Linked DNA regions of Ovis aries. The protein of the gene in region 7 interacts with the protein of the main gene of each other region in a pairwise test. Links are inferred from orthologs where the notes say so. Each region holds a gene or a part of one and is shown on either strand. Other genes may lie near its edges. The genes, in order: PPIH, NEK6, CKS1B, ERCC3, SSX2IP, RFC5 and XIAP.

Evidence for each region.
Region 1: the proteins of XIAP (region 7) and PPIH interact in binary tests that used the Homo sapiens proteins (3 or more experiments, as listed by UniProt). The two-hybrid records come from large-scale screens. The link is inferred for Ovis aries from reciprocal best matches to the Homo sapiens genes XIAP and PPIH.
Region 2: the proteins of XIAP (region 7) and NEK6 interact in binary tests that used the Homo sapiens proteins (3 or more experiments, as listed by UniProt). The two-hybrid records come from large-scale screens. The link is inferred for Ovis aries from reciprocal best matches to the Homo sapiens genes XIAP and NEK6.
Region 3: the proteins of XIAP (region 7) and CKS1B interact in a two-hybrid assay, tested with the Homo sapiens proteins (3 studies listed by BioGRID and IntAct). The two-hybrid records come from large-scale screens. The link is inferred for Ovis aries from reciprocal best matches to the Homo sapiens genes XIAP and CKS1B.
Region 4: the proteins of XIAP (region 7) and ERCC3 interact in binary tests that used the Homo sapiens proteins (3 or more experiments, as listed by UniProt). The two-hybrid records come from large-scale screens. The link is inferred for Ovis aries from reciprocal best matches to the Homo sapiens genes XIAP and ERCC3.
Region 5: the proteins of XIAP (region 7) and SSX2IP interact in binary tests that used the Homo sapiens proteins (3 or more experiments, as listed by UniProt). The two-hybrid records come from large-scale screens. The link is inferred for Ovis aries from reciprocal best matches to the Homo sapiens genes XIAP and SSX2IP.
Region 6: the proteins of XIAP (region 7) and RFC5 interact in binary tests that used the Homo sapiens proteins (3 or more experiments, as listed by UniProt). The link is inferred for Ovis aries from reciprocal best matches to the Homo sapiens genes XIAP and RFC5.

What each region holds. Positions count from the first base shown.
Region 1 is NC_056054.1:17,161,017-17,165,484, reverse strand, and holds the start of PPIH (peptidyl-prolyl cis-trans isomerase H), read right to left. Parts: upstream 2,822-4,468; 5' UTR 2,798-2,821; coding exon 2,732-2,797; exon of another isoform or gene 2,397-2,731; coding exon 2,332-2,396; intron 2,041-2,331; coding exon 2,017-2,040; exon of another isoform or gene 1,923-2,016; coding exon of another isoform or gene 1,900-1,922; intron 1,745-1,899; coding exon 1,700-1,744; intron 1,449-1,699; coding exon 1,406-1,448; intron 1-1,405. UniProt on the Homo sapiens protein: PPIase that catalyzes the cis-trans isomerization of proline imidic peptide bonds in oligopeptides and may therefore assist protein folding. Participates in pre-mRNA splicing.
Region 2 is NC_056056.1:11,509,551-11,513,250, forward strand, and holds part of NEK6 (serine/threonine-protein kinase Nek6), read right to left. Parts: intron 3,547-3,700; coding exon 3,406-3,546; intron 2,019-3,405; coding exon 1,956-2,018; intron 1-1,955. UniProt on the Homo sapiens protein: Protein kinase which plays an important role in mitotic cell cycle progression. Required for chromosome segregation at metaphase-anaphase transition, robust mitotic spindle formation and cytokinesis.
Region 3 is NC_056054.1:105,196,590-105,201,025, forward strand, and holds the start of CKS1B (cyclin-dependent kinases regulatory subunit 1), read left to right. Parts: upstream 1-1,441; 5' UTR 1,442-1,533; coding exon 1,534-1,592; intron 1,593-4,118; coding exon 4,119-4,246; intron 4,247-4,436.
Region 4 is NC_056055.1:118,229,751-118,233,450, reverse strand, and holds part of ERCC3 (general transcription and DNA repair factor IIH helicase subunit XPB), read right to left. Parts: intron 2,286-3,700; coding exon 2,236-2,285; intron 1,816-2,235; coding exon 1,680-1,815; intron 1,500-1,679; coding exon 1,335-1,499; intron 922-1,334; coding exon 717-921; intron 1-716. UniProt on the Homo sapiens protein: ATP-dependent 3'-5' DNA helicase/translocase. Binds dsDNA rather than ssDNA, unzipping it in a translocase rather than classical helicase activity. Component of the general transcription and DNA repair factor IIH (TFIIH) core complex.
Region 5 is NC_056054.1:61,682,636-61,686,335, forward strand, and holds part of SSX2IP (afadin- and alpha-actinin-binding protein), read right to left. Parts: intron 2,741-3,700; coding exon 2,604-2,740; intron 2,264-2,603; coding exon 2,090-2,263; intron 1-2,089. UniProt on the Homo sapiens protein: Belongs to an adhesion system, which plays a role in the organization of homotypic, interneuronal and heterotypic cell-cell adherens junctions (AJs).
Region 6 is NC_056070.1:57,206,533-57,210,860, forward strand, and holds the start of RFC5 (replication factor C subunit 5), read right to left. Parts: upstream 2,801-4,328; 5' UTR 2,696-2,800; coding exon 2,634-2,695; intron 1,167-2,633; coding exon 1,102-1,166; intron 838-1,101; coding exon 701-837; intron 1-700. UniProt on the Homo sapiens protein: Subunit of the replication factor C (RFC) complex which acts during elongation of primed DNA templates by DNA polymerases delta and epsilon, and is necessary for ATP-dependent loading of proliferating cell nuclear antigen (PCNA) onto primed DNA.
Region 7 is NC_056080.1:107,805,713-107,810,156, reverse strand, and holds the start of XIAP (E3 ubiquitin-protein ligase XIAP), read right to left. Parts: upstream 2,822-4,444; 5' UTR 2,600-2,821; intron 1-2,599.

The DNA.
Region 1 (4,468 bases), on a different chromosome or scaffold from region 7:
AAGCAAATATTCTTAGTCCAACTTTAGAAGGTCTCAAATTCTGCTTCTACGTCTTGCTCATTCTATTTTTTCTGCCCTAAGGGTGGCTCTGAGTAATTTCTTCTCCCTGACAGCCTTCTGGCTGACTAACTGCTAACTCTAGAGCAATTAGCAAGTGATCACATGTGCCTAGCAATGACCCATAAGAAGTTAGTCCTATCCCTGCTAAGACAATATAGCAGTATAGAAGCCTTTGGAAGAAAGAACACAGAGAATAGCATCTTAGCCCTTCTTACTTGCCAATAAAAAAGGATATGGTCACCCCAAGCCCTACTCTAATCAGTCGTGGCCAGGGGTTGCAAACTTAAATGCCTATAGGAGTATGTGACGTAAAGAAGGGAAGCCAGTGGTGGGAACTGTGGTGAAATAATAAGGACATACCTGTCTAAAGGGAGCTGTTACTTGACTCAACCAAATGTTGCTACATGAGAAACACAGGCCAAGTGCACCCCTACTTTTCAGTTGTAACAGAGAAAACAAAACTCCAGAACTTTCCGGAAAATTTCCCAGTTTTACAACATCATACAGATGATACAAAGCATATCTGTTTCGGATTCAGCCCCAAATCTGCCACTTTGTAAACTTATCTGGGTAGGAAAGATAGAAATCTTAAAAAAACTCCTAACAGTCAAACTAAATATACATGTAAAGGATAAAGAATGTCTCCCAGATCCAAGAAAACAGCAACATGACTAACCAAATGATATTAATAAGAAAGATCATGCACAGAAATGGGTGGGTATGGACAAACGTAGGTTTAAGAAAGCATAAATGTGGTTTATTCAGAACCCTGCAAGGTTGGGAAGCTTGAAATGGGGATGCATACAGTGGCAAGAAAAATCATGCTTAGCAATGAAGGATTAATTCAATGGGTTCTCCTAGTGAATAGGGAAAATATCCTTCCAGAACTCTCTGATTTCTTGCCCACTAATGAACTTGATTAAAAAAATAACAACTCACCTTCCGAGGCACTGGGATACCAGAAGTGAATGGGAAATCAGGGCATAAGCATTTAACTCACTGGAAAGGGACTTGCCCCCATTTAGAGAAAGTTAACTGTAACTGATTTCTAGCTAAATTCCATGTGCCCAGTTAATTTGGGTCTGTCATGGATCACCTATAGGTATGCTGGGAAAGTCAGTTCCCAGCCCTAAAAGACTGAGATTTGGAGTGAGTGACTCAATCAAAGTGCTAATATGTTATCTAGTGATGCAGCGAGTAGCAGCCATCACAGGATATTCCCATTCCCACCTCCTCCCCCAGCAAACTTGGCTACTGTTCTCAGTTCCCCGAGGAGCAGCTTCAATAACAACAACCAACAAAAACAAAACTTATAGGCCCTTAATAGGAAAGGAACAGTACTTACATTAACAAAATCTCCACCCTGAATCATGAAATCTTTTATGACCCTGAAACAGAGAACAAAGGATGCTGGGAGAAGATTGTGTGGTTTGGAATAACATTAATTTCAAAATATAATGTTTATCACTTCAGTCCTCAAATCAATGGTTGAGTTCACAAAAGCATCCCTTCTCAAGAACTAAGAATTATGCTATGGTTTTGTTTTCCTCTGAAGAGACTAATCCCCCAAGGAAGTAATTCTAAACCATACTAATAGTAATTTTAAAAGTCCCCCAGGATGGCTTGCCAAAGGCCTTACCTGTGGAAGGTGCTCCCCTTGTATCCTATCGGAACCCCATCTTTTCTATAAGCAAAAAGAAAGAGACTTGAAATGGTAAACAGGTAAACATAGGCCTTTCACGTTTACCATACAGTCGAGCCAGAGACACCCTTCTAAAGATGGTCGGGAGAAGAGAGACGAAGAAGGCAAATGAACTGAGGACAGACCCATAGTAATACCTTCTATTACTGTCACCAGTCATACAAGGCCTGCCGGTGATTCCCCAATACCCTCAACTGCAGCCTCAGGACAGCCCTCAGGAGCAAGCAGAGAAGTCAACCACGTCAGAGACTGACCTGAATTCTCCTGTGCAGAACTGCCTGAAAAGGAAAAGAGTGAACGATTCAGTCGCCATGGCATCACAACTCTGAGCGTCCCTAACCTCAGCGGGAAGGGGAACGTCGGCGCTAGCTAGCCCACCAACTGGCTGGTCAGACGTCCAGGCATACAGATTAACATAAACTGAAAAGGGGACGGTCAAGACTATTCAGAGAGATACCCAGAGAAGTCAGATCTCAAGGACGGTGAATGAACGGATAGAGGTAGGCAGAAGATTCCACAGACAGGCCCAGCTTCTCGTTTGGTTTATCCAGCAAAGAACATCATCTTACCTAAAATTCTCCGCCGTCTTAGGCACAACGTCTGCAAAGAGCTCAATCTTCATACGACCAACCTCCTGCAACCGGCGAGAGACGTTCAGAAAGCCCAGTCCAAGCCCGTGAAGGCCTCACCGAACAGGGAACCCTCGGGCCCCCATGCCGCTTGGTCTCTCCCACCTCCGCCTCCGTAGCCTACTCTTCCGTTCCACCCGGTCCCTCCACCAGCCGGGCGCTAGGATGCGCAAGACTCCTCCTCTTCCTACTCCCTCACCCCCGCCCCGCAGGTCGGTAGGTTCTGGTTCAATTTCACTTTTTGGCTTCCCGAGTTTGCTACACCTGAGGAGGTGATCTGCCTGCCAGACCGCGTGCACGTTCCCTTTGGCATCGGGCTGGCTGGCTGCCAAGACCTCACCTGGCCGCCAATGCTGACATCAAAGAATACCACGGGATTGACAGGGCTTGAATTTGCCACCGCCATGCCTCTGACCCGGAAGCAGAAGTCGGGAGCGCGGGGTTCCGGCGATCCTATGATCTTGCTCCGCCGGGAGGTGTTTATTTCCGGCGCAGGCGCAGGAAGAGCCGGGGGGGGGGGCGGTGCGGTGGGAGGCGGTCGGCCCCGCCCCCGGAAGCTCTCTGCCTTCGATGCCAAGCTGCGCGCTGCGTGGGTGGCCGGGGCTTCCTTCCGTTTTGACGAGTCGCAAGTTGTTACCTCACCTGAGTCTCCTTGAGCGCTGAGGCCGGAGGACATCCTCGGCTTTTTTTTCGCTCGAGGCCCACGGGCCTCTCATTCACTTGGATACAGTAAGTGCAGTACGGATGATTCTCGCTCAGGCTACGGGGCTTGGACTAGGCAGTCTTCAGGGTCTGATCAGCCTTTGCAGCCAAGACCGTCTGAACCATCATATGTGCGGCCTCTTACCCCTTTTCACTAGTCTGGAGGCCCGGAAGCAAAAACCGTGTTTATCCTCAGCGCTTTGAACAGCCTGGCATATAAGGCTTGTTCAGTATATTCAGCACTTTCATGAAGTCAGGCACTAGACTTTAATTCCAGTTCTCCCACAAGCTTCCGCTTTCATCATCTCCAAGTCACTTACTGCAGAGCAGCTAGAGCTTTTAAATGAATCTGCTTATAAATCACTCCCGGATTCCCTTATTTAGAATAAAATCCAGTTGCTACATAAAAGACCTACATTACATTATCTGGCCACCTACCTGGGACTCTAGCCTGTTCCTCTAGGTCACGGAGACTCGGATTCTATTTAGGGCCTGTTAACTGACTTTAATATTCTTCTAAATCTTCATGAGGGTGCGGAGTGGTCTTGTAGGTCAAGTCTCATCTCAGGTCATTAGTCAGGAACATTGCACCCAATCTAAAGTAGCCCTCTGTCACTCTTTTGGATAGATTACTGATTTTCTTCATGCCATTCACCATCCAAAATTATATGGTTTCCCCACCTCACCAGCTGCTTCACACTTGTTTAACTCCATGAAAATGAAGCTGGGTCCTTCGTAAAAACCGGGTGCCTTTGCAAAGCTTAGGAATAACCTATCTATAACGTTCCCTTTCTTGTCCACCTGTTTCCCTCAAGGTTGTTGAGTACCAAAGAAAAAGGCATTGAGACAGCCGGCCCTTGGCAGGACACTGCTGTGTATAAAACCCTTGCTTATGTACCTGATTCCTTGTTTGTAGAAAGACTTGACCCTCCTGGATCTTGTTCCAAAGAGCAGATCCAAATAGTTCCTAATGAGGGAATGCAAAAACAAAGGAAAAGCAGTCACAGAATGATAGTTCAGGGACTTCCCTGGTGGGTCAGTGGTTAAGACTATGCTTCCAGCACACATGGGTTTGCTCTCTGGTCAGGGAACTAAGATCCTGTCTGCTGCACAGCAATAAATAAATAAAATTTAGTTCACTTTGTTGTACACCTGAAACTAACAACATTGTTAATCAACTACAATTAAATTTAAAAAAATTGTATTTCAATGATAAAACAGAGCCTTAGTCCCTCCTCATGGGATATATGTAATAATCTGATACAGATCTTTGAGTGCTGCAGGAACTAAAGCCCTCACCCAGGTAGAGGATGGTAACTACCTTCTGAGAAGCCAGACTGGTGGGAACTAGAAGGTTGATGATTGAGATTCCTGG
Region 2 (3,700 bases), on a different chromosome or scaffold from region 7:
AATCCCTTACTCACGTGAGCAACACACGTGTGTTCTTGGCCACGAGTAGGGAGACAGGGGTGTGTGATCCAGACAGCCACTCCCCAGGGCTGGGGAATCAGAGTTTCAGGGATCACAACTGGGTCCAAAGTTAACCATTTAGTAAAACTTTCAAAATGTTATCTGAAGAGTATTTTAGGACCTGTGATAGCTGGAGTTAAGGATACCTCCCTACAAGCCTCTAGGCTCCCCCTTGGGACCCATCACAGCCAAGGGCCACCCCAGCGAGCATCCACAACTCCCATATGGCCACGGCACCTCACGCTCAGCCACTGCGGGGCCCCCTCTTGTCCCCACATTCAAGTCTCACATCCTGAATGTGGCATTCGAGTCCACCGTGACCTGCACGCCCATCCATGCTGCCACGGCTCCTGCAGCAGGCCCGTCTCAGCCTTCCAGATTCTGAGAGCAGGCCCTGGGCGCTGCACGACTTCCCTGGGGCCCTTGCGTCTGCCAGCGTCACTCGACGGTCACCATCTGCCGCCTGTCTGTTCTCCCTCCTGCCTGGGAATCCCTGGGTGGTGGGGTGGCGGGTGCCATGGTTGACAGTACCAGTAGCCCCACTTTACAGGAAGCTGCCAAGCAAGCTTGCTCTCTATGTGGGGAGACAGGACACCAAGTCAGTGCTGACTGTGTGCTCTCCTGTGCCAGGCCCTCTTCAGACACTATTTTATTTTAAAATTTTTTTCATTGGTTTATTTTTTGGCCATGCCACGCTGCTTGCAGGATCTCAGTTCCTCAGCCAGAGACTGAATCCAGGTCCCGGAAAGGAAATCCTGGAATCCTAACCACTAGGCCAGCAGGGAACTCCCCCGATACTATTTTATTTAATTCTCTCTATCTGCCCATATCCTGTGAGGCCAGCATTCTCTCCATTGAGCTGATGGGCAAACTGAGGCTCAGGGAGGTTAAGTCATATGCTTAAGGTCACACAGCTTGTAAACGAAGACATCAGCGTTTGAATCCAGGATCCCGGGCCTCCAAAGCCCATCCCTTTTTTTCTCCTCCATCACCTCCTAATTCTCAGGTGGAATCCTGAACCTGGGGAGGAGGGCAGAGCCCCAGGGAGAGCCACCCCTAGACCAGGGAAATAGGTCTAGTCCAGAAAGTTCTGTCATCTCTGACTCTCAGGAGACCGGAGGGGAAGCCAGCAGGAAGGCGGAAAGGATGACCATAGACACCATCCACCACCATCCCTCGCCCTGGACAGGCCCCGCAGGTCTGTCCTTCATACAACCCTGTCCAGCTCTGGTGGAACCAAGGACTTCTGCCCACAGAGGGGCAGGCACATCAGCTACTCCCGGGGGGCCCCATCCCCAGCTGTGCATCCTGCCTCCTCCCTGATGGAGGCCTGGCTAGAGTCCAAAAGGTGGACAACTCAGGGGCCCCAAGCCCCTCTAGCTCCCAGAACCTGGGGCCCTGTGCTTGGCTGTTAATTCTGCCCAGTGCCCCAGACTGGCTCGGCTCTGTCTCCCTGGCATAGAGCATCTCCTGGATGCACAAGAATGGGAGAGAAGAAGAGAACACACCTGGCTGAATATTCAGATGTGTGTGCCTCTGAGTAGAAATACAAGGGCACAAGGCTGAGAGCAAAGATGTAATGAGACCGACAGGGAGACAGACAGACAGACCGCAGTCGGACCCAATGCCCACCTCCGCTCCTTCCCCAACAGCCTGGTCCACGGCTGCCACATCCAGATCCGCAAGGGGCACGGACAGCCAGTCTTGGGGCGCCGCGAGGACTGGGCAGAGGTGAGGTGGGGTCCCCACTCAGCCACAGGAGGACAAACCAGCCACTGCCCTCCTCCAAAATACGTTGTTTCTGAATTTAAAGGGCTAAGGGGCTATGATGGTCACGACATAGCCCAGCCTGGCCCAAGGAAGCGTGGGGCTCCTGCTCGGCGCAGGGCACTCACCTTCAGGAGGCCGATCTCCTTGACACAGTCCTGCCTGGCCTTGGCGTCCATCATCTCAAATATCTTGAGTGAGAGAAGACAGAGAAAGAGTGGTTAAAACCAGCACCCAGAGCCCCAGAGGGAGCACAAGGCCCAGGACCCCAATCTGGGTTCTCACGCCTCCTTGCAGAGGGAACCCTTAGGACAATGGTTCGGATAACTGGGTGCCCATCACGTGCCAGGCGCTGTGCTGACCAATTCCCACCGAATCATCTCAGCAGCTCCTATGAGGCGGGGGTTACTGCGGCCAACTTACAGAGGAGGAGACTGAGGTCCAGAGAAGTCCTGTGACTTGCTAAGGTCATGCACCGGTAAGGGGTAGGACAGGAAATACCCTTGGAGCCTCAGTCTTCACGTCTATAAATGGGGCCAACAGCCTGACCTCACTGGGCAGTCATGTGGACCAAGTTAGAAGAAAGGGTGTAGCATGCACCCCCTGATGGCCCCCAGGACCTGTGTTCACTGCACGTGGGGCCTCCCAGCACATCCTAACTTACAGGAACAAACCAGAGGGCGACACTACAGCCGCCCCACCGCAGAACCCATCCCAGCACTAAAGACCAACACAGAGAGAACCCGGGTGAGCCCGTCCCCGGCAGACAAACGCAGAACACGGGCCTTTTCTGAACCGAGGAGCCCGTGTCCCCTCCAGCCATCCCAGGCCACGTGTGCAGCACCCAGATCCGCAAGGACAGAATCACACTGTCCGGCTCCAGGTGGGGCTTCTTTGCCCGTCTCCCCACCTCGTGACTGTGTCTGAACTGCCTTCCCTCTGCTGGGCCTCCTCTGCCCAGCCGGTTAATCTCATTCTTTAAGGTAAATGAGCAAGTCGAGGGGCTGTGGAAGCCCTGCTGGAGGACTCAAGGCCATTTCCTGCAGAAAAGAGCCATTCAGAGGGGCCCAAAGGCTCTCACGAGCAGCTTTCTCCTTGAGCTTTGCTGCATAGAATACATCTGCCTGACCCCACTCCTCCGATTAGAAGGGACTCAGAGGTTGGGCAGTAGCCCAGAGCTACCAGAGAGGGTCAGTTGGCTGCAGATCTGAGCCTCAGCTCCCACTTAGCTTCCCCCACCAGCCCTGGTAAGTTATTCATGTGTCTGCAGTTTTCCTCCTCCGAAAAATGGGGTGATAATCCCCAACCCACAAAGCCGCTATCAAGATTCTGTGAGCTCCAGCATAACGCAGGATACAGCAGGCACTCAGCATGTGCTCGTCCTTGTTTTCCTTTATGGTTCACAGGGAGCTTTCGCAAAGACCAGGCCGCCTAATTCTTCCACAGCCCCGTGAGTGAGGAGAGTGCCAGTTTCCCGGGTTTTCTTCAGGGAGTGGCAGGACTAGCCCAGGGCCACAGTGATCAGCCACCAGCCGGCTCCTGCTGTGTAGTTCTGACCCCACGGTGCTGTTGGCTCACCTGCACCTTCTTCAGAGCCACTGTCTTCCTGTCCAGCAAGCAGGTGGCCTTGTACACCTCACTGAACTGCCCTCGGCCAATCTTCTTCTCGATCTGGAAGTCGGCCAGTGAGCAGCGAAAAGACAGGGCCGTGGGGTGCCTCTGGAGGGGAAAGACAGAGGGCATCAGTGACCAGCCAGGCGGAGTGGAGGGCTGAGACCTGGGATGGGGTTTGGGGGGCGGTGCTACCCCTTCCCCAGCCCCGGCAACACCCTTTCAGGGTGAAGGAGGGACCCTGATCGCCCCCTCACTATCA
Region 3 (4,436 bases), on a different chromosome or scaffold from region 7:
GAAGTGGTGGGGCCTGAAGAGTCCCTTAAAAAAAAAAAATCAAACATCAAAAAGGACACTGTTACCTACACCCATTCCAAGCCACCGTCTTCAGGTGGTAGAAAACTTTCTCTTCTGTCACACCCACATGTCACACATCGACAAATCCACGGCCCTACCCAGCTCCCGTCGTACAGGTATGAGACAAACAGCTGTTTCTGGGGTGGAGTCGGTCCTGGGAAGGGAAACTCAGGGAGTGGGGCAGGGAATCTGTGAGCAAGTCTCCCTCCCACTCTCGTGCCAAACCCCAAGTCCAGCCCCCTTCAAGTAGGTCCACCCTTGGAAGGGGCTAAGGGAGAGGGAAAGGGCTGCCTCTAATCTCTTACTCCACAGAGTCAGAGATGTGAACTTTTGACCCTATCCAGTGGAGCCTAAGAGCTCAGGAAAACTGAGCCAAGGGCCCCAAAGAGAAAAGGAACGAGGAAGCGCAAGCAGGTGAAGTTTCTGGGATTGAAGACAAAGCTCCTGAGGCGATGACAAGGGTCCAACCGGGATAACGCTCCTGAAGGGGCGTGGCCCCTCAAGACGCGTGCACCAGAGACTCCCAGGAGGCGAGGCTTCTGGACGATCCGACGTGGATTAAGGAAGGGGCGAGGCTTCTAAAGGGGCGGAACCCTTAGGGAGGCGTGGCCTCACGAATTCGAATAGTTCTTTGAGTAGCAGGGTTCTGCCCTTTTGGGAGTTAGGCTTTTGATAGACAGGGGTTAACGGAGAATAGTCTCGAGAAGGCGGGGTTTCGGGGAATCGGAAGGACTAATGCAGGGGTTTGGAAGCATGTCTGGGGGTGGGACTTCCAGGAAAGCTGGACGACAGGGTAGGATTGGGGACAGTAAATGGAATATAAGTCGGGGTTCGGAGAGCCCCCTGAAGTTGGGAGGTGGGACTTCCGGGGAGGGGGTCGCAGAGGGCGGGACTTGTAAATGAAGACCGGAAGTAGGGTCCCGGGAGAGGGGTTCCGGGGTAGAGGAGTGGGTCACCTAAGAAGAAAAATGTCCCAACTCACCAGGACTTCATGGAGTCTCCGCACCGCACCGCGGGCCGATTTGGTTCCGGATCACGCCACTGTCTCCTCAGGTTGCCGCTCCAACTTTCTCCCCGGGCCCGGCCTCCCTGGAGAAACTTTATTGCACTCACTTCCGGCCTCACTAACCCCTGACCCTGTACCTCATTGTCCCTCCTTCACCCGTCCCTCTTTCCCGAATCAACCAATGGCAGTGCGCGGACGAGCACAGTAGCAGTGATAGCCAATAAAACGTCTATTTTTTACTTACGGCAATTCTTGAGCAATGTTCATTCCAATGAGGACTTGAGTAGAAGCAAACCTAAGCCAATCGGAGGCTTGAAGGTGGGGTTGTCCCGCCTTCCGGCAGAGGGACCAATAGAAAGCGCAGGCGGCGTGTTTGAAAGCGAGGCCAAAGAGGGTGGGAGCGCGTGCTGCTGGGAGTTGTTCGGAGGTTGGCGGCGCGGGGCTGAAGGTCCTCAGGCAGAGTGATCATGTCGCACAAACAAATTTACTATTCGGACAAATACGACGACGAGGAGTTCGAGTACCGGTTAGTGCCGGCGCGGGGGCAATATCAAGGTCGTGAGTTCTGACAACTGAGGGCACGAGAAGTTGGTAACGGGGACTGAAAACTGCAGAGTTGGCGCATGCGCGGGAGGTTAACGGGAATGGGTGTGCTGAGAGTGTGAGGCGCATGCGCGAAAGGTAGGGGGGCAATCAAAAAAAACCCCTAGAGTGATAGCGAATTTGGAAGGAGGCATGGGTGGTCGTGGTTAGAGTGTTCGAATGTTAGAATACTGACCACCCTCAGCTTTGCGGGTTTCTGGACCATTCTCTCACCTCAGTTGAGTAAACTGAACTTGCCTTCCTGAGACTGCTTGTATTACAGCCACACCGTAGAGCCTTCTGGGAGAAGGTGGCAAAGGCGAAGCTTGAATTTTCTTCGAGTCTTCAAAGTGAGGAGAGTTCTAAGAGAGCCTGAGTGTTGCTTATTAATCCATGGGAAAGGGGCGTGGTTGTCTGATTTGTTTTAGGAAGGGGGGCTTCGAGGAACTGGAATCGAGTAAAACTGACCAGAACCACTGAGGAAAGACTTAATATGGCCCTAATAGATTACCGTCAAATGTTTGAAGGGCATCTACTTGGGAAACAATTATGGAGTGTTTATAGGTTTCAGGTGTTCTGCTAAAGTACACGGATAAGCCATGGTCCCTGCTTTCAACAGACCTAAAAAATATGTGGAAATACTGACAGGCTTCAGAAAGAAGATGATAATTGGTATAATAGAGCTATGTACATGTAGGTTGTGGTGGGAGCACATAGGATTTACCAAACATGATAAAGAAAGGACTCCATACAGAGTTTGCATTTGATAAGCTCTTAAGTCCATAATTCTAGATTAGAAAATAAAGCAACACAAAGAATTTTACAAATGTTGGCATTCCACTAATCTGTAGTAAGCGTTAATAGTTAAAACAACTGGAAGCTTGGTTTTCGTGTGTTTCTTGAGCCTAGTGCAGGGCTCTGAGCCTTCTGGAGAACTTGGTGTATGCTGTCAAATAACCCTGCCTGCATTGTTTTTATGTCCGATCCTTGGGAAAAGATCCCCAGCCCTGGGATTTCACTGGTGGTCCAGTGGCTAAGATGGTAAACACCCAGTGCAGGAGACTTGGGTTCAATCCCTGGTCAGGGAAGTAGGTCCCACACGCTGCAACTACAATCCCGACCAAAAGAAAAAAAAACACTCCAGCCCTGTTTGAACCCAATTAACTCTTTTCCTCAGCTGTTCTCTACATCTGAACTAGGCTAACTAAAATTGTGTGCTTAAAATGTCTTTGCAGGGCTAGGGAGACATCACTAGTTTCATCCTCTGGAGGATGTAAGTCTTGGCAGTGATATTTGATTTAAGGAAAGGTTTGTTTTGTTTTGTTTTGTTTTGGTCTAAATAGTCCCTGGAAGCCAGTCTTTATGCCATTGGCTTATTAGGATGTAAGCTGTTTTCAGACATTTAAACCAGAATTGACTTACAGGTGGGGGGTGGGGGGGTGAAATCCCTTTTACTTAGCACAGAGAGAGCATTCAGTGCAGTGTCACTGAACATAATAATCAAGTCTGGGTCACCCCAATTCAAGTAGTAATTTCTTTGCTATAAAAGGAGACTTATCCTTGGTTAGGAAAGCATGGAGTCTCCCCCAAAGAAGTCTCGTGGCACATCCTTTCAGAGTTGAAAAATGTAACTTATGAGGATAGATTTTAAAAGAGAAGATTTTTCTATTTCATTCTTGGTGACAGGGGCGGGTAAAAAAGTCTTTATTTCACCAGCAGATAAATTCAGGTCATCTCAGATTTAGTAACCAAATGGATTATGAGAAAAATGTTTGCCTTCAGGTGTTTGTAAAATTGTAAATTGTAAAACTTAAAAAGTGAGGGGATTGTGGACATTTTATACATAGGCCATAGAAATTTATAAAAGTATAAATGTATAAATAGATATCTTTGTTGTTGTCTAGTCGCTAAGTCATGTCCAACTCTCTGCGACCGCATGGATTATAGCCTGCTAGGCTCCTCTGTCCATGGAATTCCCCACGAAAGAATACTGGAGTGGGTTGCCATTTCCTTCTCCATATATTTGATTTTATGTTCTGGCTCTTCCACACAGCACTGCCTGATAGGCCTTTCCTCTCTGAAATCACTTCTCTCTCTTCCTTACAACCCTGTTCAGAACCACCCCTAATTATTAACAGTCTGTGTGTGTGTTCTGGGGCTCCCATTATATTGTTTAAGAGTAATCAACTAGAGGACTGTAAGTGGCTATAATTTTGGCACTCATTCACGGGTGTTATTCATTAATATGTACTTTCTAATATACTTTCGTGAGAATTTACGTAACTTGGCCTGTAACTTGGGCTTTATTTCTAGCTGCCTTTGCACTACAATAAGATTTTATAAACTCCCTGCCATTACAAACTGGTTTCTCTTTTCTTGTCTGTCTTGGCTTTACCTGCTAGCCCCCTCATCTGATAGATTGTACCCAGTTCTGATACAAATTTCCCACCTTCCCACGTTTCTATTACAGGCATGTCATGTTGCCCAAGGACATAGCCAAGCTGGTCCCTAAAACTCATTTGATGTCTGAATCTGAATGGAGGAATCTTGGTGTTCAGCAGAGTCAGGGATGGGTCCATTATATGATCCATGAACCAGGTCAGTGCAATGGCTGAAAGCAACCATGTAGGACCAAGGAAATGAAGGAATGATAGGTGGGGATGATTTGTGGGTTTCTTAACTCACCAGCCATCTAGAAAAACAGGAGTGACCAAAAATAAGAAATAAAGTATCTGGGAGGTTCAGATGCAACCTGTCACTGGAGGGGGGGAAAAAAAAAACTCCTTTA
Region 4 (3,700 bases), on a different chromosome or scaffold from region 7:
AAAGCTGACACTGTTGAGGCATTTTTTTCTGCTCCAAACCTGTTTCCTTCTTTACAGAAAAGGAGGTGTGCCTACTTCAACACAAATGTGAAAAGTAAGAGACAAGTGCCAGGCCCTGTTAAAGCGCCATATATGCACCTTGTTTAAATCGTAAAAAGCAACATCTGTCAAAACAAACAATGAGTAAGAGACACTTCTACTATTGCTGTTTTAAAGATGGGAAAACTAAATCTAAGGTGTAACTGGCCCGAGACCCTGGGACAGCAGTGCTGCTAGGGTATACTGTACCCAACACATGGACTCCCTTCGGAGGGACTGAGTAAAAGATGGCTACTATGGTCACACATAAACTGGGCTGAGCACTCAGCAACATGGTCGTGTGAACAGTGCTACTGGCAAAGACACAGGAAGGTGAAACTCCAGGGGCTTCTGAGTTTACCACCGTCCACCATTAATGAAGATCAAGATTAAAAATCAAGCTGTTCCTTTAAAAAGCAATTCTTCCTTAACCAGGGATGTGCTTCAAAGTAACCCATGCAGCTTAAAAAGAAAGAAGGTGCAGGCCCCTTCCTGAGACAGTTCACCTTCTAGAGTCTGGGGCAAGGCTCCAGCTGAGTGTACTACGATTTCCGGCCAAGAACCTAGGCTAGGCCCGACATGACTCAGGACAGATGCAGAGACAGCAGCCCACCCATCTCCTTCACTCAGTCACTCACCACAAGGAAGGACAATGACCCCGGAGCGCGCGCGCCCATTCCCAAACATCTTCCGCAAACTCTTCTCCTGGTAAGGTCTAAGGACAGCTGTGGGCTTCAGGTCAATGTTGATATCAGGGTTGACAGAATCATTCCGAAAGTCGTATTCTGCCAACAGAGGGTACTCCAGGTGGATGCAACGTTTCTGGAGTTCTTCAATCATTTCCTGGAAAGTGAGCATGAAGGTTTCATAATCTTGTTAACTCCAAAGCGTGCTCAGAAGCAACACATATCCTAAGACACCTAACAATAAAAATCAAGTTTACCTAGACTTTTGCAATTTCAGATCTTGCTTGATAACAACTGGGTTTAAAGCATAGAAAAGGACCCCAAACTAAGGCAATGAACAAAATTAAATCCAATCAGCTACCAAAACACCCCAGAGACACCATTTCTCACTGATCCACCAGCAGGAAGAATGGGCACTCAGATACAACTCCATCAGGAAGAATGATGAAACAGCACACTGGAGACAGATAGGGGTTCCTTCTTCTCACACAAAGTATGGACAGTCCAGGCAGGGCCAGACCAGCTTCTGATATCAGCTTAGAGAAGCAACCAGGAGTTATGTTCACTAACCTGCTTGACTTCAAAAGATACTGTCTGTGTCTCTTCTTCCTCCTCCTCATCCTTGTCCATTTGCTCATAAAAATCAAACAGGTCTGTGGGGATGTCAGATTTACCCTGTGGATCTGTCACTCGGGAAGTGGAGGGCCCACCGCTACCTTCAGCGCTCTTAGCAATCTGGAAGAGAAAGGCAGGATGTGGACTTGCACAGAACATTTAACCCTACTGCTACCAAGCACAGTCAAAGCTGCAAGAAAGCGGCAGGACTACTAGGCTATAAATGCTGGACTAAAAGCACCTGAGGGCTACAATCCTGAATGTGTCCAACCCCTGAGGGTGACCCAGGAGCCCACATACAGCAGATTTGCTTGTGAAAGTCTCGGTGATGAGCTCGGTGGCCTCCCCCTCAGAGTTCCTCAGGCGGCACTCCCGGATCACGGCATCCTGGAGAAGATGCTGGATGACGTCAGGATGAGAGCTTTCAACGAAGTACCTGTAAAAGGGGAGGAAGCAGAAGCCTGCTGGCCGGGACAGGATTTGCGGAAGGGTCCACTTAGCATTCTTCGGATGGTCTGGGGACGGCGGCCTCTGGCCCCTCTGCACAGTCACCCTGCCCCATCCCTTTGCCGAAGCTGAGTGATGAGCTACTGGTCATGAGAGCGCACAGAAGGGCTGCGGGCAAAGCCCCACTTTGAAGACACATTAGCAGGGATCGGAGCCCCAGCTCCACTGCCAGGGGAATACAGTGGTCAGGGAGTGAACAGTTCTGGCCACACAGCTTCCCTCATTCCCTTTAGCCCCTTACTCTGGGGAGCAGTTGTTAGTGCAGAGCACAGCCCACAAACGTTAGCTTCCTGCCACTGACAGGCAGAGGGTGGAAACGCCTTGGTGGGCCTGTCACAGAGTCCCTTACCTGTTGTGCTTCAGGACCAGCTTGACTTTCCCATAGCTGACAGTACACAACTGCAGGGAGGGACAACACCAGACAGGTAAAATCAGCCACATGCAGCTCACTCAGAACAAGTCATTACCGGACGCATTTTACTACCTTTCAACTAAGTGAAGGGTTCATTTTACTTTAGGAACATCCAATGTGCAATCCTAAAGGGGTAGATCTGTCTAAATAGAGCTTTTTCTATTAGCTTCCACTTTTTTTTAGCTTTACCTGTTTTTATTTTTAACTTATTTTTAATTAAAAAACAACTGCTTTACAATATTGTGTTGGTTTTTGCCATACAACAAAAAGAATCAGCCATAGGCATACATATTGAAAAGCAGAGACATTACTTTGCCAGCAAAGGTCCATCTAGTCAAGGCTATGGTTTTTCCAGTGGTCATGTATGGATGCGAGAGTGGGACTGTGAAGAAAGCTGAGCGCCGAAGGATCGATGCTTTTGAACTGTGGTGTTGGAGAAGACTCTCGAGAGTCCCTTGGACTGCAAGGAGATCCAACCAGTCCATTCTAAAGGAGATCAGCCCTGCGATTTCTTTGGAAGGAATGATGCTAAAGCTGAAACTCCAGTACTTTGGCCACCTCATGCAAATAGTTGACTCACTGGAAAAGACTCTGATGCTGGGAGAGATTGGGGGCAGGAGGAGAAGGGGACGACGGAGGATGAGATGACTGGATGGCATCACCGACTCGATAGATGTGAGTTTGGGTGAACTCCGAGAGTTGGTGATGGACAGGGAGGCCTGGCGTGCTGCAATTCATGGGGTCACAAAGAGTCGGACATGACTGAGCGACTGAACTGAACTGAACTGAATACATATGTTTAAATATTTCTACTAATAAGGATGACTAGAAATTAATGAACTAAGTATCTAACTCAAGCTACAGGTTAAAAAACAGCACTACCCACAAAAACCCGAAAGAAACAGAAGGACAAAAATTAAAGATAAAAGTGTAAAAATGATTTTGAAGAAAACAAACTAACAGTAAAACTACTTCAAGTAAAATAAATCCAATAGAAATAATTTTTTTTCATTGAAAATAGCAGGAATTCCCTGGTGGTCCAGTGGTTAGAACTGGAGGCTCTCACTGCAGAGGGCCCACGGTTAAAGTCCTGGTCAGGGAACTAAGATCCCACATGCCCATGATGCAGGGGTGGGGTGGGGAAGTGAAAACAGCTTAAACCAGTAGTTGACATAGTCGAGAAAAGTTAAGAATAAAATACAGAGCCACTACAGAAAGTGGTGAGTGGAGACAGACTGTTTACTGCACACCTTTTGGTGCCCTTGTCTGCATGCTGAGTCCATTTCAGTCACATCTGACTCTCTGTGTAGCTTCTACTTTTTGAGAGCAAAACCTCCCTCTTGTCTGGCTAACTCTGATGCACATCCCTTAACCTATAAAATGCTGCTCAAAATCTTTCCGT
Region 5 (3,700 bases), on a different chromosome or scaffold from region 7:
TCATAAACATTAATACAAAATCATGGATCACCAGACATTTGAAGAAAAGTAATAGCATAGAAGAAAAATGCCAGGAGAAATAAAGAGAACTGGCCATGGGTAAAGCTCAAGGCAAGTTTTTTTAAGATAACACAAATTATCAGACAGACTTAAAGACATCTGTAAAATATAATATGAGACACAAAACAAAAAATACACTATAAAACTTAAAAGATAAATTGTGAAGTAAAAACTCAGTGGATGAAGTGAAAAATCAAACTGACCTTGCTGAATACCAGGTTGGTGCTGCACAAGATAAAAGAGAAAATATTCCCAAATTCGGAACATAAAGTCAATCTATAGATGTAGTCAGAAGGCCAAATATTTGTCTAGCAGAAGTTCCAGAATGCAAGAGAAGTCAGAGAAGGAAAAAATACAGAATTGAAGAAAATATCCCTGAACTGAAGAAATAGAGCATCTTCAGGTTAAAAGGAGCTACCCAGACCTACCCTGGTAAAATTTCACAACTCTTAATTTAAGAACATAAAATTGCAAAAGCTTCCACAGAGGGGGAAAAACAGCACAGCTGTCTAAAATTAACCCAGGGTATTTTATAACCAGGCTGCTCATGAGCAAAATCAAACAATGGAAGAATCAGAATAACTCACAGTTTTGAAAGGAAAAGTTGGAAAACAATTCTACATCCAGGCAAACCAATCAAGTATGAATATATTTTTGGATAGTCCAGAATTCAGAATATTTGTCACTCACACACACTTGTGAAAAAATTACTCAAGAAGGTAATACAACAGATTGAAAAAGGAACCCAAGAAAGAGAATACGAGATAGAAGCTGAACCTGATTCAGAAATCATAAAGCAAGCACCCACAAAAAAGTCACAGAATTCACTACAGATTCTCTTCTGCGTGACAGTTTTAACAACAAAGAATGCTATATAAAAGTGTCCAAACGTATTACTCGGCCATAGAATGAATATTCATATAATCACAGGGTTATCAATGTTCTTTCTGGTTTCCATTCTTAAATCGCAATCCTGGACAAAGTACTTACACTTGAATTTGTATTAAAAATCAGAGTATAAATGTGGTAACACTTGACAGTGAAAAATAGCATCACTGACAAAAACTGAGCAGTCGAGGGGTAAAAGCACTGCAACAAGGGTAACTACAAGGACGCCCTCACCTTCCATTTCAGGGATAAACCCATCCTGTCTAACGCTGAGCAAACATGGAATGGAAGCATTAAACAAATTTACTCCGAGTAAAAAAATCAACCAGGAGAAACAGTTCTTTAAAAATTAGCTTAAAAAAGTAACAATATTATGGAGAAATCATATGTATATGAGAAATAGTGTAGATGGGAGGTATGGTAAGGGCACTAAACTCCTTGTGTTTCATAGTGGGGAGTCAATAGGCTGACTGTAAGAAAAAAGGCTGAATTTTATTCAAGCTAAAATAGTTTTTCCCAGAAGAATCATAAACCTTCAATAGTGGTACCTCTGAGGAATGAAACTGAGAAGAAGGAAGGATACTTTCACACCTTGTAGCTTTTTGGAATGAGTTTCTTTTTTTAAATCATGTCCAGACATTACTTCTCTAGGTTTGGATAGGGAAATAGTGCATGTAACACACTACTAAATAAAAAGGCGAGCTGCTGAAGCGCATACACACAGTTCATCCCTGGGTAAGGCAATGGTACTGTACTCTCCCTTCCCTTAAAAAAAACCCAAGACACTCTCTCGGCTGAACTCTCTCCTGACTTTACACCTACTAACAGCGGAGAGATGACAGATGCCCAGAAGAAATCTCCTTCGTGAAGCAAAACTCTTAACAGCAAGCAGAAAGCTACCCAGAAGGCATGACAAAGGCCTAGTTTTTTCAATATAAAATTTTTTTCAATTCCCAAATCTGAAGGCAAAATGATACACCTCTATTACAGCTTCCGTTTCAAGCTATTTTGTGAAATCACTGGTAAAATACTTGAGGAAATGTACAGCAAAAAAACAAAAAATAAGAACTTCAATGCATTCTAGTGAGGCTTCTCCAGGACCTTCAAACATTCTACAAGGAAGGCCAATTGCTTAAAATACCTCCAATCCTAGGCGAATAGCTGCTTCTGTAAAGCTTCGTCTTTCCTTCTCGAAATTCTTTTTCTGCTCTTTAAAAAGGGACCACTCTTCTTTGAGGCGTTCCTTTTCTTCCAACAAGTAACAGTCTCGTAGCAGTGAAGTGGTGTCATCATCACAAGCAGTAGCGAGCTGCTGCTATTAAATTTTAACACATAGTAAGTTCCAGAGGGTCCCTGCAACACTCCAACAAGTTGAAATGAAAGCAAGCAAAAAAAGCAGGCCTAACTTCAGGGCAAGGAGAGAGATGATGAAGAATCAGAAAGTCAATGGAAATGAGAAGCCTCATTTCCCAAATGCTTCTACTCTAAAAGGCAAAGCATCGACTAATGATGCTTTGTGGTCTATCTGCTAGCAAGCAGAGAACTTAGACTGTAAAACATATCTTACGAAATAAAGGAGCAAAAATCTAGTAAGATTCAATAAAATCCTGACCCTTCACAGGGGAGAACAGCTTTAAAAGGTGTCCTGCGTTTACCTGTAAAAGTTGCTGCTGAGTTTTAATCATCTCTTTACACTGCTGAATTTCCAACTCGAGTTTTTCAGTTTCTTGTTCATGGTCTTGTCGTGAGATTACATCTTCGTCATTAAAACCTTCTAAGTGTACCTTTGAAACTAATACAAAACCAATAATTTGACATAAACCTTATAGTCTCCATTTTAGTTTATGGCATTTGGGGACATATATTTAAAAATCAAGAAATAAATTTAAAAATCAGAAAGGTTTTCCCTTTCTGGAATCTCAACGGTTTTCTAAAAGGTAGTTATTTCTTTTGTCCTTTAAAAACTCCACTAGCTATAATAAAATAGAATAAAAGGTATATTATTTAACACTAAAATATTTTTTTAAGTAAGCAACTGTAATGAGTTCGTGGTAACTATAAAATTCACGCTATTTCTGGACTAAATGATATCCTTACTTACAAAATTCTATTTCCAACATTTAACCTGTAATTTGTATTCATTCAAGATGATGTCCTAATTAGAAATGCAAACCTATGTTCCCAGAAAAATTAACATTCATAAACTATACTCTTTTGACACTTCCTCAAAGATCAGTGCAAGATTACAAATCTTGCTGTTATTAAATCTGACAAATATCAGGTCCAAAAATACTTGCTATTTACTAATAGACAGTGATAAATGAAATCAAAAAAACCTCATGTAAACTAATTTTGATACTTTAATTGTTCTGACTTCACTTTTTAAGACAATTAGCACTGAGATTGTCATTTCTGACCATTTAGAATAAATTTTCTTTAAGTAAAATGCATTTACTTAACAGACGTCTTAATTTTCTTGATTTAAAAACATGCAAGCTTGAACAAATATAAAATGTTAAGGATATACTCATCAACATCAATCTACTAGGTATCTATAATGACAGGAACTGGTTATCTAAAAATAATACACTGTTGAGTGAAAAAAGAACAGTATAGAAAAAAACAAGTAATATTCAACTTATGGCTTGTAGACATTTAAAATAAGTATTTTGCAAATGCAGAAAGGTCTAGAAAGGTATGCACCATAGGGAACAGAGACCTGACTGTTCTCTTGGGTTAGCCAAAAAGTTTA
Region 6 (4,328 bases), on a different chromosome or scaffold from region 7:
TTTTTCTTAACAATAGACAATATTTAGAATTTCATAATCTAAGTGGATCAGTCGTGTCCCAGCAGTAAACAGCACACTCAAATTCGGTAATTTGAAGAGAATTAAATGAAGAGATATTTTCAAAGGTGCTCGTGAGGTGTGGGAGAAACCACAAGAGCTATGCAATACCTTATGGGCTACTGGGGCCCATTACCACTCTCAAGTCTTAAGGGGTTGTTGGGGGAGTGATGCTGGCTCCTGGGGAATGCTGGGTGCTGTGCCCTGTGGGTGGGGACACTGTCCGTCTGTGGTGACCCAGGGCTGGACCAGGCATCATTTTTCCCCCAACTCCTGGCCAAACCCAATAGGAGCCAGAGGGCAAGGGAGCTTGTCGGCAACACCGCCCAGTCTTCTGGGACAAGAACAGTGTGGAGCAACATGGAGAAGGGCACATGGGATACAGCTAGCAACCAAGTGACCCCTGAGTGTTTGAGTAAAAGCTGGCAAAAGCAAACAAAAACACCTGGCCCTACCACTGCCCTCTAGCTACACCCAAAATCTCCAGGCAAAAATGTCAATTATAGGAAAAGTGAATTGAAATATTGTATATCTGCTTCTTTCCCAACCACCAGCAGGGCAACTAAGTTGGAAAACAAAACTAGCAGAACTAAAAATAAGAAACCAGAGTCCGTTGAAAGTTAAGGGTAATCCTCTCATTTACCTCCAAGACCATGGAGCCAAATTCCTTATCTTTGTACAGCTGTTTAGCACAGGCCAGGATGGTGGATGTCTTTCCTGTCCCTGGAGGACCATACAGAAGGAGGTGCGGCAGGCGGTCCTCACTGATAAACTTCTGAACTGAAGATGGGGGGAGAAAGACAGATGCTATCAGTCTCAGTCGCCTCATTCACCGCGGGCCAGAGTTGGGCTGAGTCTACTTCACATCTGTGTTCAAATCCAGGGCACGGGCAGGAATGAAACATCTGAAGGATGCAGCTGTCAGAGCCACATCCCAAAAGCTTAGTCAGATTCTTTAAGGTTATCACAGCAGAGACCACATCCCTAAGCAATGTATCCAGGTTCTTCAACTAGGATACCAGCCACTGACACAGGGATACTTACTAGTACTCAAGATGTCCTGATGAGAAATGAGATCATCCAGTGTCTGTGGCCGGTATTTTTCAACCCTAAAATACAATGTAGCATGCATTACAACATATATAAAGGCCAGAATATTTTGTTAGGTGCAGAAGAGTCCTTTCATACATATCCTAACTAAAAGAAGAGAGATACAAAAACCTCTAACCCAGTGGTTCTCAATTGGGGCAATTCTGTCCTCCAGTGAACTCTTGATAATATCTACAGACTTTTCCCCTGTCAAAACTGGGTGGAAGGTGCTACTGGCATCTAGTGGATAGTCATCAGGGAAGTTATTAAACATTATGAAATGCACAGGCTAACCCCTGTGGCCACGCCCCCCTGAAAAACTGCTCTCATTTCACCTTTCCAGCTATCTGCCTATAATCTCAACCTGGATGGGCACCTAACGTTAATCCAAAATTGAACCTGTATCCAAATATAAATTAACAGATGAATGGATCAATAAATGGTGGTATAGCCATACAGTGGAATGTTACTGGCAATAAAAGGACATGAACTGCTGATCTAAGAAGCCAGTCATGAAAGGCTACATATTGTATGATTCAAGTTACATGAAATATCCAGAATAGGCAAATTCATAGAGACAGTAAGTAGATGAGTGGTTGCCAGGAGCTGAGGGAGAGGGGAATGGGGAGTGACTGCCAATAGGTATATTGTTTCCATTTGAGGTATATGAAAAACTTTGCAACTAGATAGTGGATGATCACACAACATTCTGAATGCACTACAAAATCGCTACAACTGTAAATTGTATGTTATATATTTTTACTATAGTAACAACAAACCGAACTCATTATCTTGAAAACTTTTGAAAAGAAATAAGTTTTTCAAAATCAAGCCAAATCCTATCAGTCTTTAAAACAACAGTAAGACACAGTTGTGGAAGCAGACTGGCTAAGAATGCAAGCTCTGAATGTGGACCACCTGGGTTCAAATCCAAACCTATTTTCCAACTCTAGACCTTAAGCAAGTCATTTAACCTTTTGGTAAAGCTGGAATAACAGTATCTTCTTCCCAGGGTCTTTGCAAAATTCCAACATCTAATAGGGTGCGTGTAACAAAGTCACTGAAATATAAGTTAACTAGGAAGTGCTGTCATCATCATTATCATTATTCTAGCTTAGAATGTGACCAGTAATCGCACCGAGAGAAGAGACTATTTTGTCAAGAGAATATTCTGCCACAGAGGCCAAGGCAATGTCAGAAGACATGGGATCGAACCCATGTTGTCACCCAAGTGGGGAAGCCGTTTTCCTCTTCCGCAACAGGAAAGGGGGCCCTGGGTTACGGGTGAAGGGAGACCTAGCCAGTTATAAATAGAATGGAGCAGGACTGGGGAGTTGAGGGCAGGTGAACTTCTGTGGCTCCACCCCGGCCTCAAGTCCGGGGACTGCGGGGCGAGGTCGGGCTGGAGACTGGCCACTTGTTCACTCGGGCCACCGCCTCCGCGCGCGGCCGATCCCCTTCCCCGCAGCAGCCAGGCCCCCTCCTACCAGGGCAGGTTTCTGATCTTGGCCGCCTCAGGCTGCTGCTGCTTGTGCGCTGAGGTCTCCATAATGATGATGGTGATGATGGTGGCCGGTGGGCTTGTCGCGTTTCCCAGAGGCCCGAACCTCGCCAACAGCCACAACCAGACCCCGGGACCCTCGCACTTAGAGTTAGCGCGCAAACGCAACTCTCGCGAGATTTAGCGGCCATCGGACTTCCTCCCTAGGTCCCGCCCCCTCCCCGTTGCTAAGGCCCTGTTGCCTGGTTGCCGGCAGGCCCGGGCGGACGCCTCGCCCCAGCTCCGCCCTTTTCTAGCTGGATCTCCCCTCTCTGGTGTAGACCAGAGTCCTGAACCCAGAGGGAGCGCGCGCCTGAGAGGCACGGCCACCCCGTACAGCCACCAATCATCATTACAAATTAAAGTCTCACGGCCAAAGCCAATTCCAGTCGTCACCAGAGTTATAGCTGTTACCCTTCAAGGGAACAGAAAGCGGCCAGCGCTAAAAAATTCTGAGGTAAAACAACCCGAAATGACATGACCAGTTCTTGAATACAGATACCATAAAAAACAAGGCTTGAAATACTTTTTGCCCCCAAAGCTAGGAGGTGAGCACTTCAAACTGAAAAACAACTCCAAGCACAACTCCAACTTCAGTCTGTCTCTCAAATCTATGCCCCTCACCCAACAAAATTTACAGAACGACCTCCAGAAACAACTCCAGAGAGGAAAAAGTAAATAATAAGTAACTTCCCTCCAGGTTAATATGTGTAACTGGAAAGGGCTAGTTAGTAAGCGAAGAGGACAGGGTCCCTCTGACGTGAAGCTGCTGAGGAGAATTGGTATCAAAATGTTAGTATTTTTTTTCTGAGGTAAGGGGATTATGAACCACTTATGTTTTCTATTTTGCTGGTCTGTAGTTCCCAGCAATAAGTGTGTATTATATCCGTAATAAAGTTTGGCTGTTGTTTTGGCTGCGCTGGGTTTTAGTTGGGGCGCGCAGTATCACGCGAGATTTTCATTGCCGCCTGTTGGATCATTGTTACAGCACACGGTCTCTTCACTGTGGCATGTGGAATTTAGTTCCCTGACCAGGAATGGAAGCCAGGCCCCTGCTTTGAAGGCTCGGATTCTTACCTACTGGATCACCAGAGAAGTCCCTGCTTTTTGTTTGTTGGTTGTTGGTTTTTTTTTTTTTGCCATGCTGAGAAAGACAACAATCCTGAGAGGAGATGAGGCTGACCCAGGATTACAAGTGTTCTGATTTAGAAGTAGCTGCTCCTTGCCTCCTACTACCACACTGTCACCCATTTTAGGAGTAGAATAGAGGGACAGAGGGCAAATATAAAATGACAGTTATGGCTTCACCCTGGTCCCTTCCTGGGGAGTCAGAAGGGGGTCAGATGGGGCTGTGATATGACAATGTCCATCTGTCTGACTTACTTCATTTAGTATAATGACCTTATTCTTTATCATATGGATATCCAGTTTTTCCAACATTATTTTTTGTAGAAACTATCCAATGAGTATTGTGTTCTTGGTTCTTTGGCAAGTATTCAGTTCAGTTCAGTTCAGTCGCTCAGTCGTGTCCAACTCTTTGCAGCCCCATGGATTGCAGCATGCCAAGCCTCCCTGTCCATCAACAACTCCCAGAGTTCACCCAAACTCACGTCCATCGAGTCGGTGATGCCATCCAGCCATC
Region 7 (4,444 bases):
CATGGGGTCACAAAGAGTCAGACACAACTGAAGTGACTTAGCATGCATGCACTCAGAACTCTACTCAATGCTCTGTGGTCACTTAAATGGGGAGGAAATCTAGAAATGAAGGGATATATGTATAACTGGTTCACTTTGCTGTACAGCAGAAACTAACACAACATTGTTAAGTAACTATGCACACACGCACGCTCAGTTCCTTCAGCCGTGTCTGACTCTTTGAGACCCCATGGACTGTAGCCCACCAGGCTCCTCTGTCCATGGGGATTCTCCAGGCAAGAATACTGGAGTGGGTTGCCATTTCCTTCTCCAGGGATCGAACCCTGACCCAGGGATCGAACCCACATCTCCTGCACTGCTGGCGGATTCATTACTGGTGAAGTCCTGTAAAGCAACTAGATGCCAATACATTTTTTTTTTTAAAGAAATAGTTTAAAGAACAGTTATAAACCCTTTTGTCGGTTCAAAACCTCTGGAGCTCCCCAGGTGAAATTTGAGATTGGCGCCTTATCCTCAGAAGCGAGGAGAGACCAAAGAGGCAGACCACCCCAGACTGGTAGGAGGAGGTTTTGTAAGTTAGGAAACTTACATAGGAGGCTCATCTTGGATGGTCCCAAAACAAACCCATCTCCACACCCACCTGCCAGAATCTTAAAAGTTTACACAGAGGCCCAAACTGGGCTCAGTCACTTATTCAGTCCAGGTGGTCTCAATACCTCACTCTCTCAGAGCTCTGGCCTTGAATCACCTCTGGCTATGGGAGCAGTTGGAGAAGGCAATGGTACCCTACTCCAGTACTCCTGCCTGGAAAATCCCATGGACGGAGGAGCCTGGTGGGCTGCAGTCCATGGGGTCACTAAGAGTCGGAGACGACTGAGCGACTTCACTTTCACTTTTCACTTTCATGCATTGGAGAAGGAAATGGCAACCCACTCCAGTGTTCTTGCCTGGAGAATCCCAGGCACAGGGGAGCTTGGTGGGCTGCCGTCCATGGGGTCGCACAGAGTTGGACACGACTGAAGCAACTTAGCAGCAGCAGCATGGGAGCAGTGGGCAGAATTCCAAGCAAGCAGGGGAGGGGATAAGAAGCCTCCCATTGCTTGTCCAATCCCAGGGTCAACTGGCAGTCATTTCCTCCTGATGACCTCCTCAAACATCTTTACCCCAGATTCACCTGTTAACTTTTTACCCCATGTGCTTTATCATTTGTATGATCTACCTTTCTCTCTATCTTTTCTCCTGAACTGTTGGGGAGAATTATATATCATTGCCCTTCACCCCTAAATACTTCAGTGCATATTTCTGAAGAGTATGGTAATATTCTCTTACTTTAACCACAATCCAATTATCAACTTCAGAAATTTACATTAATACAACACTTTATTATTTTTGGCCACTCCACACAGCTTGTGAGATCTTAGCTCTCTGACCAGGGGTTGAACCCTTGCCCCCTGCAGTGGCAGGCAGAATCCTAACCATTGGACCATGAGGGAATTTCCATGATACAACACTTTAATCTATCATCCCATATTCCAATTTTAGCAGTTGACCTAATAATGTCCTTTAAGTATTCCCTTACCCCACCCCAGTACAGGAGCCTGTCTAGGGTCAGATATTGCCTTTCGTTGTCACATGGTGGAGGAGGACATTGAGTTGTGACCACCAGTTGGCTGGTAAGCTGGTCAAGGGCTACCAGTGTCAGGATTAAGGCATCTATAGTGCCAAACTTAAGGAGACACCAGTGAGTTCCACCTGGAGGAGTTTGACAGGTGAATAGGAATGAACTTAGCAGAGAAGAGAGATGAGGTCATTTGGGACAAAGGGAACAGTGGCCAGAAAGACTAGGAAGCATGAAGAGCATGGTGAGAAGTGCGATATAATCATAGTATAAGGTATTTGTTAGGGAGGGCCTGAAGATGAGACTGATAAAGTAAGTTGAGAGCAGGTGTAAATTGCCTTAGTGTTATGAGCCTGGACTGGACTTTACCCTATAGGCAGTAAAAACGTTGAAGAGTCTTTTCACATCCCGGATTGCTTGACTCACTTGGTTATCAAATTCCATCAACTCCACTTCTACACTGGCTTCCCTTGAAGTCTCCCCCCACCCCTTGAAGGGTTTTAATCAGAGGAGTAACATGATTATAATATTTTTTAATGAGGTGAAACTGGCAACATTGTATAAACTAGACTGGCAGGATGAGTGATAAGAAAGGTGAAACCTAAGTCAGGTGAGGAGGCTAATCAAGCGAGAGGTGATAAAGAACTGAATTAACAAAACAGTAGCAGGAAGGGGAAAATGTTTATGAGATATAATTAGTTAAGACTTGGGTACTGTGAGAGGGTTTCAACCTGAAATGGAACTGGAGGATTGGAAATAGAGAATCTCAGGCATGTGTCCTCAGAAGAATGGAACTTAACCAAGAGACTGATTTCCCATAAATGCCTGACTTCCAGAGGACAGAGACTTATCTCCTGACCAACAAACATCCCTCCCCATCCTCAAGCCAGTGAACTTGCTGCTTGCGCTCTGGCTGGACATCCTCCTCTTTGCACTCCTTGCCCATAAATGGAGCCCACCCTGAACCCTCAAGGGACTCACCTGTAGCTTGATACAGCTTGCATTTCTTGAATTGCAATTTCTCTGCTATTCCCAAATAAACTAAATTTCTGGTAAACTGAGGCTGTCTCCGTTTACCTTTTTATTTACGTTGACCATGTTGATTTTATACGTAGAGTCTAGAGAAGTCCAGGATGACTTTTCAGTTTCAGGCTTGAAGGACTGGGTAAGAAGAGTTGCCATTCAAGAAGTGGGGAAAATGGTAGAAATAAGTTTGAGTGGAAAAGGAAGTACAGTTTTAGACATGAGTTCAAGCTGGCCAAAGGATATCCAATTAGAAGTTTCCATGAAAAGGTTTTGAAATAATGTCTCAGTGAAACTTGGACAGCTTCCCTTTTCTGAGTTCCTTCTGCCTTCACAATCAAGATGAAATCAGGAACTTTAGGTAAAACGTTTGTTTCACCAAGTCATGTCTGGGAGTCCCCAGGGGATATTTTTAACATCCTCACGAACCTATCTTTCAGCTGTTGTTACCTTATGGCACCCACCATCCTCCTCACTTGCCTCAGCCCTCTCATTTATATCCACTGTTCAATTAAACACCTGAAGAGTGTTTCACCTTTGCCATAGCTACGTGTCCACTGTCAAAGTATAATTTTTAGAAAACTGAAAATGTGACAAGGAGAACCTACTGTATAGCATAGAGAGCTCTACTCAGTGCTCTGTGGTGACCTAAATGGGAAGGAAATCTAAAAAAAAGGGCGGATATATGTATACATATTACTGATTCACGTTGCTGTACAGCAGAAACTAATGCAACATTGTAAAGCAGCTAAACTCTAATACAAATGTTTAAAAATATGTGACATACAAAATATAGAATAAGCCCCTATAAATATTTAATTCATTAATGAGGAGACAGCAGTATGTTAAGTTGATTCAAAGGAGAATTTTGACGTCTCTGGTGGTCCAGTGGCTAAGAATTCACTTGCTAATACAGAGGAAATGGGTTCAATCCCTGGTCTGTGAAGATCCCACATGCTGGGGCAACCAAGCCCATAAGCCACAACTACTGAAGCCTCTACACCCTAGAGCTCACGCTTTGTGTCAAGAGAAGCCACTGCACAGTAATGATGACCCAGTACAACAAATAAATAAACAAAGGAGAACTTGAAAGAAAGTGCATATAGGCACTCAAAGAAATAATTATAAAGTAAAACTATGAAGTTTGATTTCAATACAATACTGTTTAATGTCCTACAGGGAAATACAACTGTTAGCTTGGAGGCTGTCATTTCTATTTGACAGAAGCATTTGCATCTCTACAAACAGTCTGCAAGTTAATAGAGACTTCAGAGAGACTTGACTGTAATCAGTAGTAAATAGTAAGTCAAGCAAAACATATTCCTCTAGACAAATAATCTTTGGGCAGCCTGTTAGACTGTGACATGGAAAGGACATCCTTTTGCCTTACTTCCAAGTTTTTCCTAATTTTCATCACACAGAACATCTGTGTCGAGTATAGGCTCCTTATATCACTGAAGCTGCAAATGATCAGGTGTCAGGGTAGTGCTCCCCTCCCACGTTATTACATCTCTGCTGGGAACCAGATCCACCAGCTTATGCCATTAGCCTTTCTCCATATAGGGCTCAAACATGTGTCTCTGAGGCTGGGCAAGGGAATCAACATCCCAGCATCTTCTGGGTACCATCTTCTTTATTTTCATGTCTCCCCAGGTGCTCATGCAAACCTCCTTTACACAGGTGTCCTGAGCAATTTGATACTGATGCAAAAAAAATATCTTTGTGTTGCCTGCCCCTCCAGGTTATGAAAAGACATGCCCAGACATGGTTGAATTCTGGCCATGGGAACAATTAACATGGACC